Linked DNA regions of Mus musculus. The protein of the gene in region 7 interacts with the protein of the main gene of each other region in a pairwise test. Links are inferred from orthologs where the notes say so. Each region holds a gene or a part of one and is shown on either strand. Other genes may lie near its edges.

Region 1 (3,870 bases), on a different chromosome or scaffold from region 7:
CCCCAGCCTTGAGCAGTCAACAGTGGCAAACCTAGTTTGCCACAGTAGCTAGCTTACTTAGGGTGGAGTCTTCTGACCTAGGTAAAGTCTATTGTCCTACCACATCTGCTTCTTCCTCCAAGATGGCACTACCTGCTGAGAGGCTGAACCTGTTTTCCTGAGCAGATCCTGGAATGGTGGGGGATGGGTCCCCCACACCCATAAGCTCAGACTCATAAGTAAACATTAGGCTTTGATCAGAGAACTTTGTCTTGGCTTGTTATTTCTCTCACCGCCTTTCCCATCCAACCACATCTTTCCTTGCAGGAACCCAGGAACCTGTGGCTGCTGGCGGCTACAAAGGAGTTGAAAGGGTTTGCAACCCCATAGGAAGAACAACATCAACCAACCAGACCCCCCAGAGCTCCTAGGGACTGAGCCATCAACCAAGGAGTACACATGGCTCTAGCTGCATATGTAGCAGAGGATGACCATGCCATGCATCAATGGAAGAAGAGGTCCTTGGACCTATAAAGGTTCGATAGACGCCCCAGTGTGTAGGGGAATCAAGGGCAGGGAGATGGGAGTGGTGGGTGGGTGAAGGGACACCTCATAGAAGCAGGGAGAGGGAGCATGGGATAGGGAGTTTCCAGGAGGAAAACAGGGAAAGGGGATAACATTTGAAATGTAAATAAAGAAAATATCAAAAAAAAAAAAAAGCACAAAAAAAAATGTAAAAAAAAAAAAAAATCAGTGCTGGAGAGATGGCTCAGCAGTTAAGAGCACTGATGCTCTTTTTTTTTTTTTTTTTTTTTTTTTTTTTTGGTTTTTTCGAGACAGGGTTTCTCTGTGTAGCCCTGGCTGTCTTGTAACTCACTTTGAAATCTGCCTGCCTCTGCCTCCCAAGTGCTGGCATTAAAGGCTTGTGCCACCACTGCCCGGCTCTGACTGCTCTTCCAAGGGAAGCAGGTTCCATTCCCGGCACCACCGGATGGCCCAGGTCCAGGGAGTTAGATTCCCTCTTCTGAACTCAGCATGAACCAGAAAGGCCCCCATACACACATGCAGGCAAAACACTCATATATTCAAAATAAACATAAATAAGTATGTTTTTAATGACTTTACTGCACTCTGAGTTCAATGCCTGCCTGCTGTACAGTTTCAGGACAGCCAGGGCTATACAGAGACACTCTGTCTCAAAGATTATTAAATAAAATAAATAAAATAAATACAATCTGACTGGTGAGGATAAGGAAGGGTGTTTGCTGCCAAGCCCAGGTTCCTGATTCTGTTCCTGAGACCCACGTGGTAGCGGAGAGCTGACTCCTGCAAGTTGTTCTATGACCACTACCACCCACACCCACACCCACACCCACACACACACACACACACACACACAGAGAGAGAAAGAGAAAGAGAGAGACAGAAAGAGACAGAGACAGACAGAGAGAGAGAGACAGAGAGATAGAGATAGACAGAGAGAGAGAGACAGAGAGAGAAAGAGAGACAGAGACACAGAGAGAGACAGAGACAGAGAGAATATAAATTATTTTAAAAAATAAGCCGGGCAGTGGTGGCTCATGCCTTTAATCCCAGCACATGGGAGGCAGAGGCAGGTAGATTTCTGAGTTTGAGGCCAGCCTGGTCTACAAAGTGAGTTCAAGAAAGAAAGAAAGAAAGAAAGAAAGAAAGAAAGAAAGAAAGAAAGAAAGAAAGAAAGAAAGAAAGAGGAGGTGGATTGTAGGCTCAAAGCTGAAAGCTGAAACCCAAATAGCTAGGAAAGGTGTAAGCCCCTACAGGCAAGACAGGCAGGTGAGTGGTCACATCTCTCCTGAGGTCCCCCAAATGCCAGGCCCCACCCAAAGGACAGTCTAACTGCCCTAAACAGTGGGATCTAGCCCAGCCCCATCCCTACAGAGTAGAAACGAACTCTCAACTTGAAATCGCACCAATCCCCACCCCGGAAAATCTCCCGCAAGAAATTCTACATAAACCCCATCTTCTGCCCAGTTCTCTCCTGCTTCTCACCAGAGCAGAGGGAGGATCCTGACCATCAGGATAGCTTACCATCCAAGCTGTTACCCTACATCAACTGCAGGGTTACCTTTCCCCTCAGAGCTGTAACCCTTACAAGAGGACAGGAGAGAAGAGGGGCTGGCCTACCTTGGTGGCCACGTAGGTAAGGGCCTGGGACTGGCCGATGGCCCCGACCAAGCTGGAGATGTTGATGATGTTCCCTCTGCTCTTCCGCAGGTGGGGGAGGGCAAGCTATGGGGAGGATAGATCAGTCATTTGCAACTGGTCCTGGAGAACAGCCACCAACATCCTCAAGTGTGGGACTGTGACCACTGTCTAGTGAGTGGATCTCAATGAGCACAGGCATAGGGGCACATCTATGGTATGTCTGAGCACCTCTGCAAGGGATCAAGGGATCTGTGTGTGTGTGTGTGTGTGTGTGTGTGTGTGTGTGTGTGTGTGTCTGTCTGTCTGTCTGTCTGTCTGTCTGTCTGTCTGTCTGTCTGTCTCTGTGACTTTTATCTCCCTTCATCTGCTATTCCATCTCCAGTCCTCATCAAGCTAGGAAAACCTAGACACCATACAGAACCCTGCCTCTTCAGCCCAACTAGGAGGAAGTGTTTTACTCGGGGGAGAGAGATGGTGTGTCTGGGCTGTACAAAGAACTCTGTGATCATGCCTTGCATGATGCAGGGAAAGCCTCAGGATGTGTCCCGCTTCCTGCCACCTCCTGCAGCTCTCTGGAGCCCCCTCCCTGTATGACTTCCCTACGCCCAGTCTGTTCTCCACTGCTGTGGGCACTGGCGCTGTTCCCAGGACACATGACTGAGCACTGAGTAGGTCCTCAGGAGGCTCCTGGAACAGGAACCTAAGAGGATCCCTACTGTGGTTCACCCCCCAAATCCACCCTTCCCCCCTTCCTCCGTGCCATCTTCAACACTGCAACTTCAGAGCCTCTTGCCTGGACCACTCCCTGCAGAGAAAGCCACACAGGCCACACACTCTCCTCAGTTTGCCTTGGAATAAGAGATCCCTGGGGACTGTCATGGTAGTCACATGCCCTCTGGTCCTGTAACTGATATTGCAATAGTGAGAACATCTCCAGTACAGGGAGCCCTGCCCACTGGGGCCCCTCTTCTCCTCTTAAAGGGACCAGCGACAGACAGTAAGTGCGGCTGGATCTCAGGAAGTCAAAAGCCATAAACACAGGAGACGTTCAGAGGACTCTGAAGTGTCTGAACCCAGCTCTGCGATGGGGGTTCTCTGCTCTCCTCAGGGGAAGGTCCCTCTCGCACCTCACACACATTCTTCCTTACACTCTGGAACCACCCGCCCACCCTCTCCCTTATGCCAGTCAGCTTTACACCCTCTCCACCTTCCGTAATGGCAGTCTCTGATAGGCCCCTTGCCTACTCTCTTCCCTGAACCAGGTCCAGAGCTATTATTCAATTAATATTTGTCCCACTCCCCTGACTCTTTCCTGGGTATGTCCCTGGCTGACAATCTCCCGATGTGACTCTAGGCAGCTGCAGAGGGCCCCTGCTTTCACCACCTAACCCAGCTTCTATCTTATTCCAGTTTACTCTAACCCGAACCAGGTTCTCCCAAATGTTTGTGTTGCGCGTGGGATGCAAGCGACTCACATCTTTATTTTAGTTTATATGCATGGGTGTTTTCCCTGCATGTATGTCTGGGAACCACATGTGTGCAGTGCCTGTGCAGGCCAGAAGAGGGCATCAGATCCTCAAAAACGGAGAGTTCTGGGACTAGACCCCAGGTTCTCCTGAAGCGTCCAATGCTCTTAACAGGTGAGCCGTCTCCCCAAAGCCTGTCTACCGTTTTAAGATAAGGTCTTTCACTGAATCTGAAGCTCAT
Region 2 (3,304 bases), on a different chromosome or scaffold from region 7:
CAACAATTGATGTTATCAGCCAGTCAGTCCACAAACACTTAAGTTCACTTGGAGCTTAAACGGGCATTTAATACATGCTTAAATAATTAAAGCAGGCTTTAATTATTTGTATCATATTTAATAGGGTTTTTAAACTTGCCCGGGCGTTAAAACGACCTAAGACACCTGTTAAAAGCTCAGATTTCCAGAACTGAGGTGTTGGCTCCGTTGGTAAAGTGCTAACGGAGGACCTGAATTGTGTTCTCAAGCACCCATATAAAAAGTGGGGCGGGGGGAGCACGTGGCTGGAATGTGGGCGATGGCGAGATTGGAGGCAGATCCCTGAAAGCCCGAGGGCCACTGGCAGTTCCAGGTAATGAGACATCCTCTCTCAAACAAAATGTGGACGGTGCCCGTGGGAGTTCTTCTGACCTCCATGTGCGTGTCACACATGCGTGCACCTGCACCCATACATGTGTGCACACACATGGAAAAGAAAAGCCCAGATTCCAGAGTCCAAATTTCTTCCCAAATCCCAGATCTGCAGAAGAGCTGCCTGCAAGCTTCTGGCCTGAAATGAGGTTCCTTTGCCTCTCAGGGGACTTGGGGGAGGCCCCCAGGACTTGGCAAGGTTCTGTTTATTCAGGTCCGGGAACCCCATTATCTGGAGAAGTTGTTGTTTCTCAGCAACTTCTATGCCCCAGTGCTGTGGTGGCTGGTAAATGACGCAGTCCCCACAACACTGGAAGACATTTCTGGACCAAGCGCTTGTTGCCTCTGCACAGAGTACAGGGCTCCTCCTTGTTTGAAGTTTCACCCTCTATGGTTTTAGTTAGCCAATGTCAACTGTGGTCTGAGGATACTGAATGGAAAGTTCCAGAGATAAACAATTCATACGTTTTAAAATAACTCCAGCTATAGTATACTGTCATAAATGTTCCATTCTGTGTTTATTTATTGATAATCGCTTCCTATGTTTAATAAACTTCATCAGAGATTTACAGGTGTAGGGAAGCTCATAGTGTCTTCTGGGTATTGTCCAAGGCTTATGGATGGTTTGGAACAGGATCGCAAAACCCAGGAGGGAGCAGAATAGAATGCCAAGTCCATCGTAGATCCTCAATATTCAGAAAGGCTATAAGCACCCTAGCACCTGAGCAAAGCAGGCAGAGCGCGTGAGGCAACCACAGACACAAGGCACTTGGCGTGTGTTGGGGAGTAAGAGGCACAAACTGCTTTCCTCTACCTGGGGCTGGCCCGACTGCCAACCTAGAGGTGCATACGTGCGTGCGTGTGTGTGTGTGTGCGCACACACACACACACACCACGGCAAGGTTTTCTGAGGTTTGTCCCTACCAAACTTGTATGTGTATTTCATCCCTAGTGAAACAACAGAGTTGAGGGGTGGTGGTGGCCACAAGGGGGGATTGTGTCACTAAAAAGTACTAATGTCTTTCTCAGTTTCTCTTCTATTGTTTTTCTTCCTTCTCTCTTCCCTCCTTTCCTTCCTTTTCAGTGTTGCAGATTGAACCTAGGGCTCCATTGCTTCTTCACACTAGGCATATCTCCCAGCCCTTGAGAATACTCATCCATTTAGAGACAGGGTGACAAGGGACTGTCTCTCTGTATTTCCTTTCTAGCCTGGGCTGGCTTCAAACCCCCAATCCTCCTGCCTCCCCGTGCTTCATGACAGGACTGTGCCACCACTCCCAGCTTGTCTCTCACTAGTGAGGGGATGGGACTGGTTATTGTAAGTGGATTGTTAAAGAGACCCCCTCTCTCTTATACACAAGCTCCTTTTCTAAGCTCCCCACTTGCCCATCCATTTTCCCATCATGCACCCCTCAGCCACCATGTCCTTAAACCTTCAGAACTCTGATCTAAATAAACTACCCAGCCTCCTGGAGTTTTCTTATAGTGACAGGGAAGAGACATCTTAGGTGAAATTGCTATTCCTATTAGTCAAAATAGACAGCAATCAGCAGTTGCCCACGGGTCAACCTTATACTTACGCACACCCACATACAAATCTATGTGTATGTGTATGTGTGCACAGGAATTCTCAGTTGCCCTCTTCATGGCTGTGCTAATAGAAAACTTTAGCTCCCTGTGTACCACCTTTCTGCCATCATGTACCACCAACCTTCCCCCGACCCCCGACGCGAGTCATCATGCCGATTGTCTCTTTACAGGAGAGTGAGGACCTGGAGAAACAGAACGCAGCTCTCCGCAAAGAGATCAAACAGCTCACCGAGGAGCTCAAGTACTTCACATCAGTGCTGAGCAGCCACGAGCCCCTGTGCTCCGTGCTGGCCAGTGGCACCCCCTCGCCCCCCGAGGTGGTATACAGTGCCCATGCCTTCCACCAGCCTCACATCAGCTCGCCACGCTTCCAGCCCTGACCTTCTGGACAAGAAGGGCGATGCTACTCCCGTGATCCCTTGGAGGGGCATGTAAACTGAGGCCGGGCTGCCCTCATACCTCTACCCAGAGGCCCAGTGGCAGAGGCCTGGACAAGTATTGAACACAAGAACTGTAGTGGTCAGAGGGACTTAAGGCCTCCCAGGGAAGTATAGTCAATGTACTGGACTCTCCCAGGGAAGTCGAGCCAATGTACTGGACCCAAAAAATGACAAGTCAACCCTGGACTGTCATGAATGATGCCCAAAATACACAGCACAGAGGGAGGAGGGCAGGGGGTGGATAGTTTTCTAAATAAATATTTTCTAAAAAACCAGCCCTGGAAAGCGGCTTCCCTCACTTCTCCCATCAGCATCGTGCGAACTACTTTCTCTTGATTTGGCACCTGGTTTTCCTTCTTGGCTTCAGGGAGCTCTTCCAGACTCTATGAATTCCACTTAGCTGTCTGCTCCATGTTTTGTTCCCTGTTTGGGAAGCTGGTCTCTTCAAATCATCTTCAACCTCTAGCTATCTCCCTCACACTCCTCCACAGTGTGACACCCCCCCCCCCAGCCGTGCCTCTTGCACGGTGCTTTCTCTAAATGGTGGAGCCAGTCACTCTACAGTTAGAGAAAGGGCTGTATAAGACAGGTCAGGGAAATCTCAGTTTCTCCCACTTGTACACCTTCCTGGTTGGCTGCTGCAGCCCTACAGTCAAGTCTCAAGGATGCTGTGGCAGGTTCCATGCCAGGAATATGGGTAACACAAACGCAGCACCTCCCATTCAAGGCCGTAGGTAACCTTTTGCCACACCCTGCCAAAGACGCCCTTAGAAATAGGACACTCAACCTGTACACTGAGTGTCCCAAGGTTGAGTAGCTCAGGGCTGTGTTCAATTTGGACATCTGGTAGAAACCAGTGTTCT
Region 3 (4,297 bases), on a different chromosome or scaffold from region 7:
AGAGGTAAAGATGCAGGTAGCCCAGGACCCTGGAGCTGGAAGCCTAGGTTCCCTTCCCAGCTTCCTGCCTACATTGCTCATTTTCACCTCTGTAGACAGTACCTGCCACTGTTTACTATCACCCCAGCCCTTCCACCAGGTGGAAACAGTCCAGCCATCTGTGTCAGAGGGAATATGAGCTCTATCCCTTAAGCCTGAGAAAAACCTAATCCTCTGTGTGCTCAAGGCGGGTACCTCATCTAGGTACTTACATGGCAGCTATCTGGCACAAAGCCAGTATGAACAGGTGGAATTCAGGCTGTTCCTTTCATTAACCCAGAGCTCCCTCATCTTCACCGTCTCAAACAGCTCAGCTCAGCCCTGGGATATACCCAGGTAGTTATTGTATCTAACCCAGGAACGTCTGCAGTTAAGTCTATTACAAAGAATGACACTGAAAACCCACATAGGTACTTTCACTACAAAATAATTTATTACAGCAAACACAGCAACACAAGACTATGTACAAGCACAAAGCACCTGACTACCCTATTACGGAACTCTCTTCTTCCCCCTTGCCTTACGGACCTCTTCTATCAGGTCTTTCAGATACTGGATCTCCTTGGCCAGAGAATCTGCCTTCTCTTTCAGAGCCTCATTCTTTTTTTCTAGCTCCTTACACTCGCCAGTGAGGGCCTCCTGCTCAGCCCGCTTCTTCTGGCGGTACCTAGTGGCTGCTGTCTTGTTTTGCTCCATCTTTTTCAGCTTCTTATCCAATTTCTCAGTCTTCACTTTAGCTGTCAAACTAACTCCAGGTGGGTCATAAGGTTTGGGCCGAGGAGACCCACGGGAACCACCTGGAGAAGGCAGATTGTCTGGTGGGGCCCTGGAGGTGGAGGGGCTATGCTGGGGAGAGCCCAGGTAGGACTCTGGGCTCATACAGATGCCACTGTCATTGTCAGAGGGAGTGTCTTCCTCCTTTACACATGGAGGGATTAGAGTAATGTAAGCAGCAGAGTCAGGCTTCCTGTCTCCTTCAGAGATATCAACTTCACTGCCTAGCTCTAAACTAAAGGAATGCTCTGGAGTGGAAGACAGAACCCCTGGGGAACAGGGGAAAGGCTGCAAGAATGTAAAGGGGGCAACCTGGTCGACTTTTATTAAACTTTCTGGGAGATGGCCAATTGGGTTCACTGTCTGAGGGGGCTCCTTATTAGTCTCTTGGACTAGAGGGGCAAAAAGATCACATGTGTCATCCAACGTGGTCAAGAGCTCATCTGGCATGGTTTCCAGGTCATCCATTCGAAACAGAGCATCGAAGTCAAACTCTTTCAGATCCATTTTCTCCAACATCCAATCTGTCCCGGAAAAGGCATCCTCTGGGAAAAGAAATTCAGGTGTGAACGGTTCATGTCATATTCGGGAGGCAGAAAGCCATTAGAACACCAGATCCATATGAAAAGGGCACACCAGGACAGCCGTCCTACTCACCCTTGCCGGTGTCTGAGGCACTGGCCAAGCCATCATCCATAGCCGGCCATTCCGAGGAGCCCGCCTTGTCGCTGGAGAACCCATGAGGTTTCAAGTGCTTGGCCACCTCCAGATAGTCATCTAAGAGACCTAGGCTTTCTTCAGCCCCCAAACCCGACTGGTCGAAGGGGGACATCAAGTCCCCCGCCAACACTTCGCTGTTCAGGAAGCTCATCTCGGTCATGTTGTGGGGCTTTGCTGGATTCGAGGAATGTGCTTAACTCGAAGGTATCTTTGTCCGTTACAGCAACACTGCTGCTGGATTTCGTGAAGAGCCTGGATGGGGACCCAAAAGCAAGTCCAGTCATCTTTCTATCTAAGATGCCGGATGGCCAAATCCCAGAAGCGTCTACAGGGAGAGCACGCGGGCCCAAGGCCATTGTGTAAGCCTCCCCGGCCGCCAGCTCGGGTTGCACAAGATGGAGGCTTAGCTTTGCTTCACCGGCCACCCAGAGGAAGCAGCTTGTCCTCGCGTCCTAATACGGCCAAGGCCGCCGCGCCCCGCCCCCGTGACTCACACCCCCGCCCCACCGCCATCTTGGGCATCGCCACGTTCGCAGGATGACACGGGGACCCCGGTGAGCCCGAGATGATTAAGCTAAGACAGGACGAAGGGGCAGCAGTAGCGCTTTAGACACTCCTCCGCCCAGCTCTGCCCGGGAGCGCCGGCGTCGCAGGCAACGCAAACAAGGCCGACGCGTCCGGCCGCTTGTAAAACCGCGTGTGCCGGCCACCGCGCCCGGGCCGCACCCAACCACAGCGAGGCCCCCGCCCTCCGCGGCCGGCCCCATACTCACGCCATGGCTTAGGCCGGTGGGGGTTGCCGCTGCAGAGCCTGGTGCTGCTGCCGCCGCTGCAAAGGCCAACGCTGCCGCAGGCACTGCTGCCTCTAATACGCCATGGTGGCCGCAAGCCCTGCGGGAGGGGAAGAGGAAAGGGACACCCGAGCACACAACTTAAACCGGCAGACAGCAAGCAGAAATGGCGGCGGCACGCCCTAAACCCGCCCTTTATAGCCTCGGCCAGGGACGCAGCACACCGCGTATCCTCCCACTGTGGTCACGTGATCCTACCGCAGCGCCACCAAACCGCCTCTCACTGACGCCCTCGCCCGCCCCAACCCTTCTCCGCTGTGCTCGGGGGGTAACTGTGGCGTTAGAGATCGTCCTAAAGGCCCCATGAGAGAAAAGTGCACTACTTTATAGGTTGACGACCAGCCGCGGTCTGGTTCCGGAGCGCGGAGGGATCGCTCGTTGACGAATTTCCGGTGTCTTACAAGGCGGGGTGGGACACCTAGCCAAAGCTCTGACGGTCAAAGCCGAAGCTGCCAGGTTATCACGCGAGACGCCGTCGGAGCGCGCGTCGAGCTGATTGGCCCAGGCGTGGCGAGTCACCTAAACCTCAAGTTCCTATTGGCTCTGCACCTGGGCGCTCTAGGATCAGGGGTCTGCGTGGAAAGGGAGGAGCCACCAGAGGTTCCGGGCGCCAGACTGTCACACCTGCCATCTCTTGTCAGATGTGATCCATGTGTATTTGCTCTCTCCGGCATCGCTCCGCACCGAGCAAACAGCTTCCAGGCGTGACCTTTGGGCTGGAAGCCATCTTTTCATGTATTTGTTGTTTCCAGAACCGAGTGGGCAGGCTTCAGGCATGTGGAGAGACCCTTCTGAGTTAGCTGGTCCAAACCTTCAGCTTCCTGTCAGTCCTGGGACAGGGACGGCACTTGGAGGCAGGGCGTTCGTGTTGGGGTCTTCTTGGGAGATATTCCGGTTCCTCCAGTTCAGCGATTTCCCCTGAACCGGGGAAACATGCCTAACCTCAGGTCTAACCTCCTATGCCCATCCTCCCATCATAGAGGCCCTCACTGCCGGTTTGTATAGGGTCAGTTCCCTTAAGATCAGGTTTATTCAGTTGGCTCTCAAGCCTTAACTTCCAGGTATCACCTTCCCAAGAAGTCATCCTGATGAGTGAGCCTGCCGCCTAAGTGATCGGGAGCCCCAGGTACTGGTCAAGGCCTCACCATAAAGGATGCTGTTTTGAGAGTGCTGAGAGGCTCTTTCCAACTCCAGCCTGGAAATCTTAAAAAGAGTTTCCACTTCTGTTTAAGTGACTCACACAAATACCACTCAACTGGCACAGTGCCTGCCACTTACTGCTCAGTGATTATTTGCAAGCCTTGTACAACCCAACCCTAGCGCTCGGGTACCATAGTTCAAGGTCGTCCTTGATTATATGATTGATTGCTATTTATTAATTCGAACCTAACTCTCCAGTCCCTATATCCCTAACTCCATCCTCCTTCCTCAGAGGAGCCTTTATTATTGTTTACTGAGACGGAACCAACCATAAAACACGAGGCCTACATAATGAGATGTTTTTATACCCAAAGAAGTCACAAGTGCATGTGCACACATACAGAAGTTACCTAGTCTTTCCATGCAAAAGCAACAAAAGGGTAACTATGTCCTCTCTTTGCTCTGGAAACCAAAACAGCAGCCACACTGCTACATTAAGTGGACATCCCTTACAAGTTTCTGTCCCCTAAGCATAATGTACCCTGCAAACCATGGTTTTTAACCTATGCTGAGTTCCTAACTCTATGATGTATGCCCACCCCTTGCTTTGCTAAACTCCTGAACCTGTGATACATGACTGCCTTTTGCTATACAAAAACGTGCCTCCCCAGAAACCTTCCACGTGGTGTAAGCTTGCACTTCTTTTTCTGGCCTCCTTTCTAACAGCCAATTATCCTAGCAGCTGTTTTCTATCACATGTATCTACCCTGCAG
Region 4 (4,179 bases), on a different chromosome or scaffold from region 7:
GGAGGGGGGAGTCGCAGGCACAGACTGACTTGTCATTGGCTTCCTCGGGGTCAGGGTTCTCACATACACACCAGATCCTAACTGGTTTCTCCTGGGCTTACCTTCTCCAGTGGCCTGCGGGGATGAAGGATAAAGATGGGAGTGAGGATGTAGAACAAGACAAGAGGCAGAATGCTGGATCAAGAGCCAAGGGACCACAAATATGGCAGAGTCATCAGAAAGCTTTCTCTTGGTCACCTGGGAAATGAGCTCTGAGGCCTAAAGTCAGAGAGCAGGCCCTAGGCCAGTGGGGCTGGCACTGGAGTTGTGTGGCACTGGGGTCATCAGAGCCCCAGGATTCTCTCAGGGCAGAATGCAGAGGCTGCTCCAGACACTGGCATGCACTGTGGTGGTAGCAAGCACACACTCGATGTACAAAGGACCAAGTGGGTAGGTGGGGTGGACATGGAGGTGAAGTGACAGAGAAGCAGAGGGACAGGCTGAGGCTAGGCTGGAGGGTGTGATGGACAGAGCCAGCCGTGGGCGGCATGTTAGTATTTCTAGGCATTCATTTGGACATGGAGTCAAGACTATGTGGACTAGCCACATGTATTCCCTGCCCTTGGGGTCCTCCATGGGTATCCCCTCCCACCAGGCCCAGGCCCAAGACCCAGTGAACAGCTTCAGCATCAAGTAACAGTGCAGTTTATTCAGCCACAGAATCATTTGGTCCCGACCTTCCCAATTACTGGCTGCCATTGTCCACGATCTCTGTCTCAGGCTTGGCCTGTTCAGGACTCTGGGGACCTAGAAGGGTGGGCGGGGCCCTTAGGGTCTGGTGCCCACAGTCTGCCAGGCAGGCTCAGCTGCAGCCCCCGACACCCTTGATGAGGCTAGCAGCCTCAGGGATCTGGCGGAAGAGGTTGCGCAGAGTGTCTAGCTCCTGAGTGAGCTGGTCTACGCGGTTGCGCAGACGCTCGTTTTCAGCCATGTACTCCAGGACCTTCTGCTGAGTCTCCATAATGCGCCTCTTGGCCTTGTCCCGGCTCTTGCGCACCGCGATGTTGTTACGTTCACGTCGCAGTCGGTACTCCAGGCTATCTTTGTTCACTGCCTTCTTGCCCTTGTGTGAGGGGCCAGCAGGGGAGGGTGCCTTGAGAAGGGGACTGCAGGGAGGGGCAGCAGCTGCCACAGGGGCCTGGAGGGTAAGGGGGACAGAGAGGTGAGGGTCCACCAGGAGGCAGAGTGAAGGCTAAGCAGGAAACCCAGCAGGGAGAGCATATGTGAGGCCTCAAAGGGATACAGGACTCCCAGAGAGCTCCGATCTCCCAGGCATCCATCTCCCTGTCTCTGTGAAGGACCGTAACCCAGATACATATGGTCCTTGGTCTGAGACCAAAGCTTTCTATCATGCTCTCATTATTCCCTTCCCTTTGGTTTGTCTGTAATAAGTCTCCCGTTCTAAAATTCTAGTCAGCCATGTTTCCTCATCCAAAAGCAGGCAGCAGAGAAGCAAGAGGTATAGTGCACAGCAGGAAACCTGGTCCTGCCTGAGATCAGGGCAGAGCAGCTATTACAAGTGTCTTCAGGACACAGCCGAGTTCTAAGAAATAAATTCACAGAGTTGGGAAACAGGACCTTGGGGTAGGGCATGTTCACAGAGGAGCACCAAACATAGACTTGTTAGGGAAGCCCAGTAGTCAGAATTCCCTCAACCACCCACCTTGCTCCACCCTGGGGGGAAGAAGCGGGGAGAGCTACCTTGGTCTTACCTTGAGGACACGCAAGGGCTGGCCAGGTGCTGCCAGGGTCGGGGGGAGGTGCACGGCTGTCTGCCCGCAGTGTGCCACTTGGTACTGCAGGGGATTGTAGCTGCCTCGACTGGTGCCTCGGTTGCCCTCTGGCCCACGAGGCTCCTCCTTCACCGCCACAGCCCTGGGGTCGTAGCTCCCTGGGTTGCTGTAGATGCCAGGCCCCAAAGCCTTCCTATCTGGGCCAAATGTGTGTGAGGGATAGGCGAATGGCCGAGGGTCAGCCGGCAGGTAGTGAGGAAACGAGGGGGCTCCTGGGCCCTTAAGGCTTCGGGCTTCAGGCGTTGGCTTCATGGCAAAGAGGTCAGAAAGTAGCTGTTCTTCCCCAGACTCGATGTAGGCGGAGAGGTCGATGGAGGCCTCATGCTCACACATGTCCCCCAGCTCCCCGGGCCCAGCTCGACCCCCTGAGAACTCAAGTGGCTGCTGGCCACCCCGAGGCTCGCACTCATAGTAGGTCCCGTGGGACATGGCCGGCCCGCCCCCTTGGCTCCCCGCCCCTGGGTCCTGTGCTGGGGGCGCCCGCCCGTTGGGATGCTCAGCCTGCCCTTTCTTGGATCTCCCCCGGTCCTAGATTTGCCCTAGGTTTGCCCTCTCTGGTCTTCTCCGTCACCAACTCCTACGTGGCTTCTCTCCTCCTCTGCTTCCCTTTCCTTCTGTAGTCAGTACCTCTTCCTTTCTTCCCTTTTCCTCTCTCTCCTTGGGGTGACTAAGGGAGGGGCAGGGCACACCCCGGAGGGAGGGGTGCTTAGCAGTTAGGGCGCTCTTTGCGAAGGCCCCAGCCACAGTCCAGAAGTTGCTGTTTGAGAAAATGGCCCTTTTTGCCCTGCGAGTTCAAGGGATTCTAATCCCTTGCCCAGAGTAGCTTCTCTGAATATCTGTCTTCCTCCGATTTCCAAAGAGACCTGTGCAGAGTGAGGTGTCAAGCCAGAGCCAATAGACAAAGCATTCCCCCAGTGCCAACTTGGTCTAAACTCCTCCCTTGATGCATCTTCCTCCCTGTCCCGTCCCCCCCCCTCCCCGCCCCCACCCCCAAGTCCTGAACTCCACCTACCCCGGGGTAAGTCAGTTCCTTCTGTAGCCCCACCTCCCAAGACATTTTTCTCTGTGTAGACCATCATTGTTTGAAGGGTTTGGGAAGTAGTAGTAGATTCTAGGACCAAGCTACCCCTGGCCCTAGTACAGGGTATGCCCATTTGCTAGTTTTGAGACAGGGTCTCACGATGTAGCTCAGGCTGGCCTTGAACTCACAGAGTTCTGCCTGCCTTTGCCTCCAGAGGGCCCCTATTAAGGTTCTTCGGTTAGGTCTTTGCACAGGGCTTGTGTGCATGTCTCCAGATCTGGCTATGGCTAGCAGCCTGGCACAGTCCGGGGCTGCCAGGACATAGCTGAGGTTTCTGGTCAAGACATGGGTCCTGTACCTCAGGCCCAGGCAAGCTGCAGCCTCAGAACCAACAGAAAGGATCTGCTGGAGGTCCCAGTTGCTCCACCCTAAAAGCTGTTCTGGCTGACCCCACCCGCGCTGGCCTGAGGCTCTGCCTCCTATTTCCTGTGCCCTGAGCTGCATGCAGGCCCTTGTTTTCTGACCTGTGCGTGTCTCTCGGGTCCACTTCCTCTTGTAGGCTTGAGAAGTCTTCTCTCTTGTCCTCACCTCTTCCTGGGGCTGTTTCGGGGTCCGAAGGAGAAGCTGGTAGCTGCCTGCCCGCCCTTCTTGATCTTCTACTAACCCCCAAAGTTCATTTTTCTGTTTTGTTCGGAACTTCCTGCTCTCTCCAGTTTGGTTGTGGCCCTGCTTCAGACACGGTTCTGGATTTACTGACAAGAAAAGAACACAGAGACATGAGAAGTGTGTCACTTTTCAGTTGTTTGTTTTTTTTTAGGTTGAGCCTCCCTTTTAGCCTAGCCTGGCCTTGAACTCTCATCTTCCTGCTTCATTCTCCACGGAGCTGAGTTGATAGCTGTGCTACCATACCTTCCTGGCTCTTTTATTGCAAACAGATGTTCTAGGGGGAGGGACAGAATTTTTAAAATGAATTTATTTTCATTATTCTAAAGTATGTGAGTGTGTGTGTGTGTTGTGTGTGTGTGTGTTGTGTTGTGTGGTATGTGTGTGTGTGGTGTGGTGTGTGTGTGTTTGTGTGGTGTGTGTGGTGTGTGTGTGTGTGTGGTGTGTGTGGTGTGTGTGTGTGTGGTGTGTGTGTGTTTGTGTATGTGTGTGCACACTTCCAGGTACCCATGGAAGCCAGAGACATCAGATCTCCTGGAGCTGGAATTACAGGCAGTTGTGAGGCACCCAGTGTGAATGCCTGGAGTCAAACTCAGGTCCTCTGGAAGAGCAGTGAGTGCTCTGAACCCTTGAACTCTTTCTCCAGCCCTAAGAATAGAACAG
Region 5 (3,614 bases), on a different chromosome or scaffold from region 7:
ACCCAAATTTTAAGCAGGATCTGAACTACAATCTTCAGACAAAAGCTTTGTCCATCTGTTCAATTCTCGATGTCTTTGGAAGGAGAAGTTCCTTTGTTTTTAGAATTCTGCCTCAGACACTGCTGAGCAGATCAAATGCACACAGCCGGCAGCTGAGGTGACCTGGATCAGCGCACTTACCGAGCCACCACAAGCAGCTGGTGGAGGTCATCAGCCGTGATGCTCTGAGGGTCATCTTTACGCATTTCCACAAAATCATCTTCAACCGCCTGTGTCACAGAGCAACACACTTGTAAAAGTGTCCCTTCAAAACAATTCCCTTACTTTTTAGAGGAAAGGAAACATGATCCTTGATTGAGGTAAAAATAATGGTAGAAAAAACAAAACTTAAGGCCCATTACAAAATGCAACACGGAAAACATTCTACATTCAGCTTGGCCCGGTTGAGATGCCGAACAAGCCTAGCAGCCAGCACCCTCTGCGGCGACGGTGCGGGGGGACGGTAACTTACAGACCTGCCTGGGCCCAATACAGCAAGTACAATGGCTGCACTCAGCTCTGTCAAAACCATGGAAACTGCCAGTATCTTGGGTACCATTTATACAAGAAAACAGTGGCTCTTGGTAAGAGTATTGAGGCTGTGACATCTGAGCTTGTTACACACTCCATCCTCCTCAGGTGATGTCCTCTAGGCAGGGCTGGAGTTCCTGCGCTGCTGCTCTGATCTGCAAGGCTGCCTTTCCTAATCTTTTTTTTTTTTTTTTTTTTTTTTTTAAAGATTTATTTATTTATTATATGTAAGTACACTGTAGCTGTCCTCAGACACTCCAGAAGAGGGGGTCAGATCTTGTTACAGATGGTTGTGAGCCACCATGTGGTTGCTGGGATTTGAACTTCAGACCTTCGGAGAGCAGTCAGGTGCTCTTACCCACTGAGCCATCTCACCAGCCCGCCTTTCCTAATCTTACTTGAAGCCTGTTATCGCTGTTCCTCTGTTGTTACCACGAATAGCTTGCTATATACATTAAGCTTATCTATACACCATTATGTTTCCCTTACATAGTGTACGTGAGACCAGGTACTAGCTCCAGTTAAAAGCACTTCCTGGGGCTCAAGCATGCATCACTCTTGGAAAGGGGTGACTATTGTATAAAGAACTAAAGACTATGTGAACAGTGCCTCACCGAGCAGAGAACATCAATAAGGAAATAATGTTGAAAAAGAAGCAAACAGGAAATTCTATAAATAAAAAATAAGGCAATTAACAGCAATAATTGTAGAAAATTTGAGCAGGCACAAAAATTAATCAAATTTCAAGATAGGTGAACAAAAGCTTTTTAGACTGAAGCAGAAAGAAAAATAAGGGAAAATGACCGCAGCTTCAAAGATCCGCAGCTCACCATCAAATGTACTGACGTAAGTGTAATGAGGGCCAGTGGGAGAGAAAGCAGCAGGAAGGAACTAAAAAAAGACAGAAAACCAAAAACAATGGCCCCTAAAAATTTGAAGGCTGCTGCAGTGGATTGACGCAGTTTGTATTCTAATACTAATATTGGTTCCTCAAGATCTGGTTGCCCTAGAGTCCCTACGCACATAGACCCAAGTGATTCTATGTGACCTTGCCCTCAAGTTATTTCTGAATAAAGATGTCTACAGCCAGTAGCTGGGCAGAAGAGGCACAGGCAGGTTTCAGGGCTCCTGGGCCTGCGGTGGGGGTTGGGGGGGCGGGGAGGAGAACCAGGAGGGAGAGAAGACGGTGAAGGGAGGTAAAGTTGCCATGAGTTAGGTGAGTCATGAAAATGTGGCCCTGAGGGCTGGCCAATTGGAATTAAGAGCATCCCAGATGAAACATAGTAATAACAAGGGGTTAACGATAGAAGGTAGATTCTAATGGCATAGAGGGTAGATAACGACCCAGCTCTTGTGGTATTTAAAGCTTATTGTAAATATAAAGGTTGTGTGAGGCTTTATTGGGAACTAAATGATTAAGGCCAGGCAGAAACCTGGATTGGGATTAACAATTTCTTTAACAGGGTGCTAAAGACTTGACCAAAATAATGCACACATTAAGAAGCACGCAAACTCAGTAGGACAGACAATAGGATCTCGGGACTGACAACTCCTCTGGGTTTTAGAGGCATGTTTGTAAGGAGTACAGCTACTGCTGACAGAACGGGGGGGTGGGGGGGTGGGGGGGGGAGCGGAACACGAAGGGAACAGACGATGGAATAGCTAAGAGCTTTGATCCCAGCACTAAGGAGGCAGAGGCAGCAGATCTCTCTGACTTTGAGGCCAGCCTGATCTGCACAGTGGGATCAGTGGGGTCAGAAGAGAGAGCAGTGGTAGGTGCTTAGCACAGTGAAGGCCCTGGGTTTGAAACCCAGCATCATAAAACAAATGGACAAAAAAAAGAATGGTCACAGAAAAAGCTTGAAGAAGTTGTCACAGAAGACACAACCTTGGTTTAGGCAGCTGCACAAGGAAATCCTGACCAGTGTGTAAAGCTATGCATGATGTCTGCCTATAGCCATGTATTTCTTCTAAGTCTACGGCCAGCCTAGGCTATACAGTAAAACCACAAACAACTCAGAAGGGCAACACAAACTGTATTTTCTTGTTCAGCTTTCCCCTCTGGTTTGAAAGACAATAGCACAAAGTGATAATTAGTAAGATGATACACTAAGTGTCCTGTGACACTGGCTAGCACCTGTGAAATAAGTCCTAGTGTGACTGGGGGGCTGTGGAACAGCCTGGAAAGCAGCAGATTCGTTTGTGTTAATGTAGTGAACCCATCTGTCAGGCCTAAGTGAGGGACAACACAAGGCTGCGGCAGGAGCTGGAGATGAGAGGAAGAGCACTTGCTGACTGACATAAAGGGGCTGGCTGGCTCCCAGTGTGAAAATACTTCAACCAACCAAACAGAAACAACCGAAATGCAGAAAGAAAGGAGGCTGCTAAGAAAAAGCACAAAAAATGAAATCTCTTTTAAACAGAAGAGCACAATGAAGACTAGAGTTGCCCAACACTAACCCTGCCTAGCAAGTAACTGCAGTAAGTTGCATGAACCCCAGAAGGTAACAGGAGTCTTGCTTGACTAGGTGTACCTTGGTTATGTCGTCTGATAGGTTGTAATCCAGGAATCTCAACAAGGTCAGGTAGATCCGGAACTTGTTGAGCACGGACGGCAGCACAGCTGAGAGCAGGCCGTTCATGTACTCCTCCATGTTGGGTGGTATCAGCTGGGGCTGCAGGTGAATCTGGCAGTCTGCCTGGAAAGAGGAAGATCCATGATCCCCAAGTTCCTTCAGCTGCCTACCTCAGAGGCGGCGGCTCTCAGCGTGGAAGGGAATTAGGAAACACGAGTTGAGGAGGGGGATATTTTTAAAACCTTAGTGTGCTCAATCTGTCTGGATTAAGACACAAACCAATTGCAATGTGATTCCGAGCTTAATTCTGAGGATCCACACAGATGGACGGAACCAACTCCTACAAGCTGTCCTCCAGCCTTTACACAGCAGCTGGTGCACTGCCCAAACCCCAAACGATGAATGAAAAGAGGAAAACATTCAAATAATAAATTTACTGCATAACTCATGATGGCCTCCAACTTGAGA
Region 6 (3,870 bases), on a different chromosome or scaffold from region 7:
GATGACTGACTGACTGTGGGGCCTGAGGCCCAGGGAGCCTGTGGACCCAAAGGATGAGAACTGTCAGGTAACTCCTCACCCGTGCATCTTAGGCCTACCTTAGGTGAGGCCCAGTTCTAAGTGCTGGGAAGATAGTCGGGGTGAATAGGACAGCTGTCCTTGCCCTTGCAAGGGGGGATGAATACAGAGTTCATGTTTTGCTGACTGCTGGGGAACAAGAAGGGAAGTCAGAGATGGGCATGGCCGGGTCTGTTTGCTTGTCTTATTTTGCTTTGTTTTGAGACACGGCTTTGAATTCAGGAGCTTTCTTTCTCAGAATCCCAAAGGATCAGATTATAGACCTGTTCCATCTCTCTCTCTCTCTCTCTCTCTCTCTCTCTCTCTCTCTCACACACACACACACACACACACACACACACACACACACACACACACCACTCCCCCCCACTCCCCGCCCCACATATCACACACACACACACACACACACACACACACACACACACACACACACACCACTCCCACAGGAGAAACTAGAAGTCATTGTCAGGAAGAGAAGAGCTGGCGGGGGTGCAGTTGGGGGAGGAATACCATTATAAAGCCCCATAGAGAGAAGGAGCTTGGAGCATGGTGGGAGACAGGAAGAAGGCCAGGATGGGACGTGGTAGTAGTGGTGGGGGTGGGAGTGGGGTGGGGGTGATAGCCTTGGAGCAGAATCTGGGAAGTCATAGACTCTGAGGTCCAAGCTGACTACTACTTCCTTGTTGTTTGTTTGTTTTTTTTCGAGACAGAGTTTCTCTGTGTAGCCCTGGCTGTCCTGGAACTCACTTTGTAGACCAGGCTGGCCTTGAACTCAAAGATCCACCTGCTTCTGCCTCAAGTGCTGGGATTAAAGGCGTGTGTCACCATGCCTGGCTTTCTTTACAGTTTTCGACTACACTAGTTCTAGAGATTTCTCTTTGTTTTGTGGTGACATAATTTAGAGTCCTAGGCACGCTAGCTGAGCACTTTACCCCTGAGCTACATCCCCAGCCCTTTGCATGGCATGGCTTTTGGTAGCAGCTCTATTAAGATAGATCTCACAGCCGGGCAGTGGTGATGCACGCCTTTAATCCCAGCACTAGGGAGGCAGAGACAGGCAGATTTCTGAGTTTGAGGCCAGCCTGGTCTACAGAGTGAGTTCCAGGACAGCCAGGGCTACACAGAAACTCTGCCTCGAAAAACCAAAAAAAAAAAAAAAAAAAAGATAGCTCTCACATCCCATGCAGTCCGCCCACATGTATAATCCTGTGCTCTACTGTGACTAAAGTGCACCCTGAGGTGTAAACCGTTAATCACCAAAAACCATGGCTCACACCTGCAATCCCAGCATTAGGAGGCAGAGGCTGGTGCAGGCCAGTTTCTGGGTTAGAGACCAGCATGGGTAATATAGTGGACAACAGGATAGCTAGGACTGCATAGAGAGCCTGTCACAAACATGAGGCCAAGTCTGGTAAAGTGGCACATACCATAATCTCAGCACTTGGAAGGCAGCATGAGGAATTCAAGTTCATCTTCAACTGCATTGAAAGTCTGAGGCAGCCTAAGCTACATGAGATCCAGTGTCAAAAAATAATAGTAGTAATAAAAAGAGGAAGAAGCAGCCGCGCATCCTTTAGCCATCACATTATAGTCCCATCATGGCTAACCTCAAGTAATCACCTGCCCCCTCGCAGTCTCTATAGACTACTTATTGCAGGTATTTCCTATGCTTGGGAGCAGACAATATGTGGTTCTTTCACTGAGCACAATGTTTTCAAGGTTCACTCACATGCTAGCAAGCAACTCTTTATTCCTTTCTACAGCAGAGTAATGGACCAAGAGACAGGGATGTCATATTTACTCATCTGTTCATTTGCTGATGGACATTAAGAGTTATTTTATTTTTTTCTTAGTTTTGTTTTGTGACAGGGATCTCTATGTATCCCAGGCTGTTCTGGAACTTGCTCTATAGACCAGGCTGGCCTCAGACTCACATAGATACTCTTGCCTCTGTCTCCCAAGTGCTGGGATTAAAGGTGAACACTAAAGGTGTGCACCAGCAATGCTGGGCATATTCTTCTCATTTGTATAGGAAGTTTTCAATTCATAACCCATGAGTCTGTGGCCTGTCACCTGTTTTCAGTTGACTCAAATGATGCGGGCACGTGTGTATATAGTATAGTATAGTATAGTATAGTATAGTATAGTATAGATGTTCAGGACATAAACCGTGAAGTAAAATGTAAAAACCCCAACTCTTCTGCTGTAGCACTACTCTTTATTCTCCCCAGAAGCAATCACCAGTGACAACTTCCTGGTCATGTATGTTAGGTTTCATCACACAATACTTTATTATCACTTCGTGTACCATAAGGGCATGGCTCCACCTATACTCTGGGCAAGCTGTACCATGTATGTGTGTGTATACACACACACACAAACACACACACACACACACACACACACACACACTCTTAATGGATTCCTGGGGAATGTGTGTGGGGTCTTGTAAAGGGGCTTCTACTTATCCCTAAACATCCCCCATTCAGGTGTGGATGGGACAGTGAGTGGCTGGGAAGAGACCAAAATCAACAGCTCCAGCCCTCTGCGCTACGACCGCCAGATTGGGGAATTTACAGTCATCAGGGCTGGGCTCTACTACCTGTACTGTCAGGTAAGCCCTGCCTGGCTTCAGGGGCAGAGCAAAGGCTAAGGGGAGGAGGGACTGGCAAGGAATGGGTGGGAGAGGGAGACTCTGCGACTCATGAAGGAAGATGCCTGGCTTTCGATGAGGGAGGCAGAGGTCTGGATTTGCTTGCCTCTCTCTGTTCCAGGTGCACTTTGATGAGGGAAAGGCTGTCTACCTGAAGCTGGACTTGCTGGTGAACGGTGTGCTGGCCCTGCGCTGCCTGGAAGAATTCTCAGCCACAGCAGCAAGCTCTCCTGGGCCCCAGCTCCGTTTGTGCCAGGTGTCTGGGCTGTTGCCGCTGCGGCCAGGGTCTTCCCTTCGGATCCGCACCCTCCCCTGGGCTCATCTTAAGGCTGCCCCCTTCCTAACCTACTTTGGACTCTTTCAAGTTCACTGAGGGGCCTTGCTCTCCCAGATTCCTTAAACTTTCCCTGGCTCCAGGAGCATCACCACACCTCCCTACCCCACCCCCACTCCTCCACCCCCTCGCTGCTCCTTGGTCCAGTCCTGTCCTCTCCTCAAAGGCAGCCAGAGCTTGTTCACATGTTTTCCATTCCACAGACGTATCCTTGCTCTTCTTTAACATCCCATCCCACCACAACTATCCACCTCACTAGCTCCCAAAGCCCCTACTTATCCCTGACTCCCCCACCCACTCACCCGACCACGTGTTTATTGACTTTGTGCACCAGGCACTGAGATGGGCTGGACCTGGTGGCAGGAAGCCAGAGAACCTGGGACTAGGCCAGAAGTTCCCAACTGTGAGGGGGAAGAGCTGGGGACAAGCTCCTCCCTGGATCCCTGTGGATTTTGAAAAGATACTATTTTTATTATTATTGTGACAAAATGTTAAATGGATATTAAAGAGAATAAATCATGATTTCTCTTCTTTGGGGTTCAGAGTAACTGAAGATTGTGGGAAGGGGATTTAGGCTTTGGGGAACAGGGACCTGCATGCCTCCAAGCTGCAGTTCTGAATAGAAATCACAAAGGTACCAGAAAAAAAATGCAAACAAACAAACAAACAACAACAAAACCCACCTGGTCCTCTGCTCAAGGTGCTGCAGAAGCAGCCTCATTTTCCTAGCAAAGGACTTCCTCCTGCAGGGGAATCCCTGGCTAGGAGGAGCAGGGCCCTTCCTCTTGGCAGCCTCAAGCAGTTG
Region 7 (4,495 bases):
CCAATTGCCATTGTTGAGGCTGACTTCGAAAGCCAGCTCTCAAACAACATTATGGGGTCAGAGAAAGACATGGTCTGACAGCAAAAGCTTGTTCAGATGAAGGCCTTGTCTAACTCTCCCCCAGCAAAGCAACATGAGCAGCATTCGCAGCTGACTGAGAGGGTGGCCAAGATTACCTGCTTTCAGGTGTGGTGGTGTATGAAGATGCACTTCCTTCTGGAACACTGTGGAGAAAAGGAAAAAACAGTCCTTTACCTCCAGCCTCCTCCTAGCCCTTCTCTAGATCCTTTCTAACTCCTCCTAGCCCCTCTCTAGATCCTTTCTAACTCCTCCTAGCCCCTCTCTAGATCCTTTCTAACTCCTCCTAGCCCTTTTCTAGATCCTTTCTAAAATGGGTTGTGAGATGGTTTCTTTGTGCATCCCTGGGCATCCTGGAATTCTGGAACTCAACAACTCTGCAGACCAGGCTCCAGTTCTTCTCTTGTAATACACACACACACATACAGAGGTGTGTGTGTCTTGCAGCGGGTGTGTCCCTGAAGCCATTTCTTCTCTTGTAATACACACACACACACAGGCGTGTGTCTTGCAGCGTGTGTGTCCCTGAAGCCAACTCCAAGGACAGAGGCAGGCTTAACTTTATTTTTAGTTGCTGACATTTGCCGTCTTGATTACATAATAGCAAAGTCCTGGCCAACTAAGTTTTCTCTAAATCCCAGATAGACCTCAAGTCCGCCAAAGGGAGACAGAACTAGAGGGAAGGAAGAGTAAACTCAGCAGTGCTTGCTCAGATTCCATCCCCCCACTGGCAGCCTCAGTGCAGACCTGCTCTGGGATCTCCAGCTCCTTGGCAGTGTTGAGCAGGCGTTCAGCTTACATGAAAGGCCTTTCCTACCAAGGCTGTATAGTTCTTACTAAATGGCAACTCTAGGTGCTGAAAGCCAAAAACTTTGGTATCCTTGATGCCCCTTTCTCAGATACCACAGCTCAGCCTAAAGCACTGACAACTTTAAAAGTACCCCAAACCTAAGTATTTCTCATTACTACATTATTTCCAGATGCAATTTTTTATTTTTCATTTATTTATTTTTTTGGTTTTTCTTGACAGGGTTTCTCTGTGTAGCCTTGGCTGTCCTGGAACTCACTGTGGACAAGGCTGGCCTCGAATTCAGAAATCCGCCTGTCTCTGTCTCCCAAATGCTGGGATTAAAGGCGTGCACCACCACTGCCTGGCTCCAGATATAAATTTACCATACATTTCTTTCCCTGGATTATTTTGGAAGCCTCTTTGAAATCTCTCCTTTCTTTCTTCCTTTCCTTTCCTTTCTTTCTCTTTTAGACAGGGTCTCACTATGTAGCTTTTGCTGTCCTGGAACTTGCTTTGTAGACTCTCTGGCTTTGAATTTAGATCTGCCTGCCTTTCAAGTGCTGGGATTAAAGGCTGTGCCACTATGTTCAGCTGAGACCTCCTGTTTCTATTCTTGTCTTTTACTTTATTTTCACGGCTGTGGGTTGACCTAGGGTCCTCTACATACCAGGCAAGCAGTGTACTATTGAGCTACATACCTAACCCTTTGTTTTTGTATTTATTTTGAGTCAGGGTCTCATAATGTAGCCCTGGCTGGCCTGGAGCTCAGAGATCTGCCTCTCTGAGTGCTGGAATTAAATGCATGTGCTATGATCATTCCTCTGCTCAGATCCCCCAATGGCTTCCTGTTTCATGATTGTTAAAGATTAGCATCATGAGGGTGCTTGCAAGGCTCTATGAGACCGGCTGCTTGAGTTTCCTTTCATCACCCTCTCCTGCTTACTCTAGTCCTGTTCCTAAAGATACCGGCATGGCATGCTTATCTTAACTCTGTTGCTCAGCCTCTCCCTTCTATAAAGCTCTAACACCGGGGCTTGGCTCACAGGCTTGGCTTCTGATGACAACCTCTAGTCACCGCCCTGAACTATTCTGCCCTGCTTTTGTTTTTTTTTTCCCTTTTGCTTTATACTGAAATGTAAGTTTTATTGAGAACAGTTTTATCTTTTGCTCCTAATATACCCTGGGTCCCCAGATACTTGGTACATAGTGGGTGCTTATTAGGCATTTGTTAGGAATGAATGGGGAAAAAGCCCCTCCCCCAAGTTCCCTTATAGAGAATTAAGCCCACTGAGCCTAAAGGCAGAGCGGAGCTGGCTGTCTCTGGGGACTGCAGATGCAATATTGCCCTGAGTGTTTCTCTGCAGGGTTGTCCTCTAGGGAAAACTCCCTTGGTCTTCCAGTGTGTGGGACCTGGCTTTCATCAGCAGAGGAGCCCCAGGCCTGAGGGTGCAGAGACAAACAGTGGGCTGGCCTGACGCAATGGTTACACAGTTTAGTTAGGAGACGGGACTGAGGAAAGAAGCAGAGATCAATCAGCCCTGGGAGAAGCAGAAGACCCTGGAGAGATCCCAAATAATTTCCCATAGTTAAAGAGATCCAGGCTGCTCTCTTGTATGGAAACCTAGAAACCTCTGGGGAAAAGGGAAAAACCCATCTATGCTCCTCCCACCAGCACCCCCACTCGCAAAGATCTGTCAGTCTTCGCGTTCTCTTGAACTTGAGAGTCAGCTACTAACGTGGCCATGTTGGCCCCTTGACTGAGGCGCTTCAGCTTGAAAGAGTTGGGGGGAATGAGGCTGGTGAAGAAAAGGCTGAGACAGCCAGAGTCCCCGACTTTGGGGGTGTGTCCTGCTGCCCCGCCTTTCCTGCGAACTGCCCAGGCCTAAGCTGGCCCGCAGTTCGCACTACAGAGACAAGTTCCCGAAGGCAACCGGAGTCCCTCTGCAGAGTGGGGACCAACTCGAGACAAGGGAACGGGAATGCAATCGCCCAATGCAAGAGAGGGCCTGTAAGCACCATTCCTGAATCAGGGATTCCCGGCCTTCACCCTTCCCAGTCTACAAGCTTACAGTGGAAGGGGTGGGGCTACATCCTCCAGAACAGTTGTCTCCAACTTTATAAAATAGCTATGCTGGCCAGGATGGGAAGGTAAGGGTTAGACGGAGCCAGTACTCGCCTCTCTCCTCAGGTTCCGGCTGTTATTCTGGCTCTGTCGCTGCCACCCGCTCATCTTCAACATGATATAATCGACGTGTTAGGCTCAAGATAACTGACCTCAAGAGCGGAGAGCGAGTATCCTTTATGCTGTCCGGCCCCTCCTGGGGGGGGGGCAGGGTCCAGGAGCCTACCAATCAGAAAGCGGCACGCTGGCACTGGCTCCGCCTCATCCCTTACATCCGCCACTCAGGAGTCTCACGGCCCCACCCCCATCGCGCCCTCTGGCTTGAGAGTCTACGTTGTCTCGGACCCGGAAGTGGCTTTGGGTCACGCGGCTTCGCGGAGGAGGTGAGTGAGTCATGCGCGCGCGCGGAGGAGAGCGCGGCGAGGGAGGGGATGGGGGGGCGGGGATGATGCAATGTTTGGCAACCGGTGTCCGCGCGCGCACGCGCAGGGGACGTCGATGGTGGTGGGAGGTGCGGGAGGGGGGCTATGGGGGAGAGAGGAAAGAGGGCGGAGCGCCAGCTCCCAGTGTCCAACGGCCCCAACGGCTGTCCTTCCTGAACTTGTCTGCCCACCTCCCATCACCTTTAACTTACTCCTCCATGAAAGGCTCCCATTTTCCCTGGCCCCTCCCAGCTAATGGGCACCGGGGCTCTGGAACCTCTTTAAAGTTTCCAATTTGTTCACCTGGATTGACATCTCCTCGAATCTTTTAAGAGCTCTCCTCCTCTTTTAGCCTTCTAATGCGTCCCAAAGACTGAGTTCCTTGATAGTCCACCCGCTTCTCTCAGAGAGGCACCTTTAACGCTTGTTTCTGAATCGTCCATTACGTGCTAGGATTGAAGTTCTTTACAGAGTGTAGATTGCTGCCTCCTCCTCATCCCACCCCTGCTTTGTGTGATGCTCTTACGCCCTTCACTAAGCCCAGTATCCACCCTCTTCCTTCTCCGAGATAGCGAGTCCTGTGACTCCCTGCTGAGGAGCTGGCCTCCTGCCTCTAGCTGTCTGAGTTCACGACCTACAGTAGAGCCTGGGACGTGCATGCACTTGAACGCATGATTGCCCTGGACTGGGTCATCAGAGGAAACACAGATTCTAGTTTAATTTGTCCAAGGATTCTACCTTACTCATTTGTAAATTAAACAACGATAAAGGTAAAAAGCAGCTCTGTGGAGAAAACTTGAGTAAAAGTAAAAACATCTTGCAAAACGTATTTTTTTTTTTTTGTGCCATGAAAACAGAGGCCATGTGGTGGCCTATTACATAGTCTGTCGTAGACTCAAGAGGGGCAAGCCAGAGTTTAAGTAGAAACTGAACCAAGACCGGTTGCTATTGGATGGTGCGACGGTGACAGGTCCTTGGCCAGACTGCTCCTTCGCTCCAGACCTTCATTTCCCCTTCTGTTAGTAGAGGTGGGGGGTGGGTTGGACCAGATGGTCTCTCCTGGCCTAAAGACAGACCAGGTTG

What was found.
Region 1: the proteins of Ddit3 (region 7) and Hsd17b14 interact in binary tests that used the Homo sapiens proteins (3 or more experiments, as listed by UniProt). The two-hybrid records come from large-scale screens. The link is inferred for Mus musculus from reciprocal best matches to the Homo sapiens genes DDIT3 and HSD17B14.
Region 2: the proteins of Ddit3 (region 7) and Batf interact in binary tests that used the Homo sapiens proteins (3 or more experiments, as listed by UniProt). The link is inferred for Mus musculus from reciprocal best matches to the Homo sapiens genes DDIT3 and BATF.
Region 3: the proteins of Ddit3 (region 7) and Atf4 interact in binary tests that used the Homo sapiens proteins (3 or more experiments, as listed by UniProt). The link is inferred for Mus musculus from reciprocal best matches to the Homo sapiens genes DDIT3 and ATF4.
Region 4: the proteins of Ddit3 (region 7) and Cebpe interact in binary tests that used the Homo sapiens proteins (3 or more experiments, as listed by UniProt). The link is inferred for Mus musculus from reciprocal best matches to the Homo sapiens genes DDIT3 and CEBPE.
Region 5: the proteins of Ddit3 (region 7) and Mcmbp interact in binary tests that used the Homo sapiens proteins (3 or more experiments, as listed by UniProt). The two-hybrid records come from large-scale screens. The link is inferred for Mus musculus from reciprocal best matches to the Homo sapiens genes DDIT3 and MCMBP.
Region 6: the proteins of Ddit3 (region 7) and Tnfsf12 interact in binary tests that used the Homo sapiens proteins (3 or more experiments, as listed by UniProt). The two-hybrid records come from large-scale screens. The link is inferred for Mus musculus from reciprocal best matches to the Homo sapiens genes DDIT3 and TNFSF12.

The regions. Positions count from the first base shown.
Region 1 is NC_000073.6:45,561,292-45,565,161, reverse strand, and holds part of Hsd17b14 (17-beta-hydroxysteroid dehydrogenase 14), read right to left. Parts: intron 3,110-3,870; exon of another isoform or gene 3,095-3,109; coding exon of another isoform or gene 2,957-3,094; intron 2,248-2,956; coding exon 2,143-2,247; intron 1-2,142. UniProt on the Homo sapiens protein: Catalyzes the NAD(+)-dependent oxidation of L-fucose, yielding L-fucono-1,5-lactone, which rapidly converts spontaneously to L-fucone-1,4-lactone. Can also act on D-arabinose and L-galactose, with lower catalytic efficiency. Does not use NADPH.
Region 2 is NC_000078.6:85,706,372-85,709,675, forward strand, and holds the end of Batf (basic leucine zipper transcriptional factor ATF-like), read left to right. Parts: intron 1-2,171; coding exon 2,172-2,381; 3' UTR 2,382-2,716; downstream 2,717-3,304. UniProt on the Homo sapiens protein: AP-1 family transcription factor that controls the differentiation of lineage-specific cells in the immune system: specifically mediates the differentiation of T-helper 17 cells (Th17), follicular T-helper cells (TfH), CD8(+) dendritic cells and class-switch recombination (CSR) in B-cells.
Region 3 is NC_000081.6:80,253,695-80,257,991, reverse strand, and holds Atf4 (cyclic AMP-dependent transcription factor ATF-4), read right to left. Parts: upstream 2,809-4,297; 5' UTR 2,307-2,808; intron 1,786-2,306; 5' UTR 1,694-1,785; coding exon 1,471-1,693; intron 1,359-1,470; coding exon 532-1,358; 3' UTR 447-531; downstream 1-446. UniProt on the Homo sapiens protein: Transcription factor that binds the cAMP response element (CRE) (consensus: 5'-GTGACGT[AC][AG]-3') and displays two biological functions, as regulator of metabolic and redox processes under normal cellular conditions, and as master transcription factor during integrated stress response (ISR).
Region 4 is NC_000080.6:54,709,698-54,713,876, forward strand, and holds Cebpe (CCAAT/enhancer-binding protein epsilon), read right to left. Parts: upstream 2,478-4,179; 5' UTR 2,262-2,477; coding exon 1,752-2,261; intron 1,178-1,751; coding exon 842-1,177; 3' UTR 666-841; downstream 1-665. UniProt on the Homo sapiens protein: Transcriptional activator. C/EBP are DNA-binding proteins that recognize two different motifs: the CCAAT homology common to many promoters and the enhanced core homology common to many enhancers.
Region 5 is NC_000073.6:128,699,139-128,702,752, forward strand, and holds part of Mcmbp (mini-chromosome maintenance complex-binding protein), read right to left. Parts: intron 3,270-3,614; coding exon 3,105-3,269; intron 270-3,104; coding exon 181-269; intron 1-180. UniProt on the Homo sapiens protein: Associated component of the MCM complex that acts as a regulator of DNA replication.
Region 6 is NC_000077.6:69,686,074-69,689,943, reverse strand, and holds the end of Tnfsf12 (tumor necrosis factor ligand superfamily member 12), read left to right. Parts: intron 1-2,567; coding exon 2,568-2,692; intron 2,693-2,852; coding exon 2,853-3,104; 3' UTR 3,105-3,704; downstream 3,705-3,870. Other genes in the region: Tnfsfm13 (tumor necrosis factor (ligand) superfamily, member 12-member 13), read left to right, coding at 2,568-2,692, 2,853-2,987. UniProt on the Homo sapiens protein: Binds to FN14 and possibly also to TNRFSF12/APO3. Weak inducer of apoptosis in some cell types. Mediates NF-kappa-B activation. Promotes angiogenesis and the proliferation of endothelial cells. Also involved in induction of inflammatory cytokines.
Region 7 is NC_000076.6:127,289,441-127,293,935, reverse strand, and holds the start of Ddit3 (DNA damage-inducible transcript 3 protein), read right to left. Parts: upstream 3,144-4,495; 5' UTR 3,045-3,143; exon of another isoform or gene 2,938-3,044; intron 225-2,937; 5' UTR 177-224; exon of another isoform or gene 1-176. UniProt on the Homo sapiens protein: Multifunctional transcription factor in endoplasmic reticulum (ER) stress response. Plays an essential role in the response to a wide variety of cell stresses and induces cell cycle arrest and apoptosis in response to ER stress.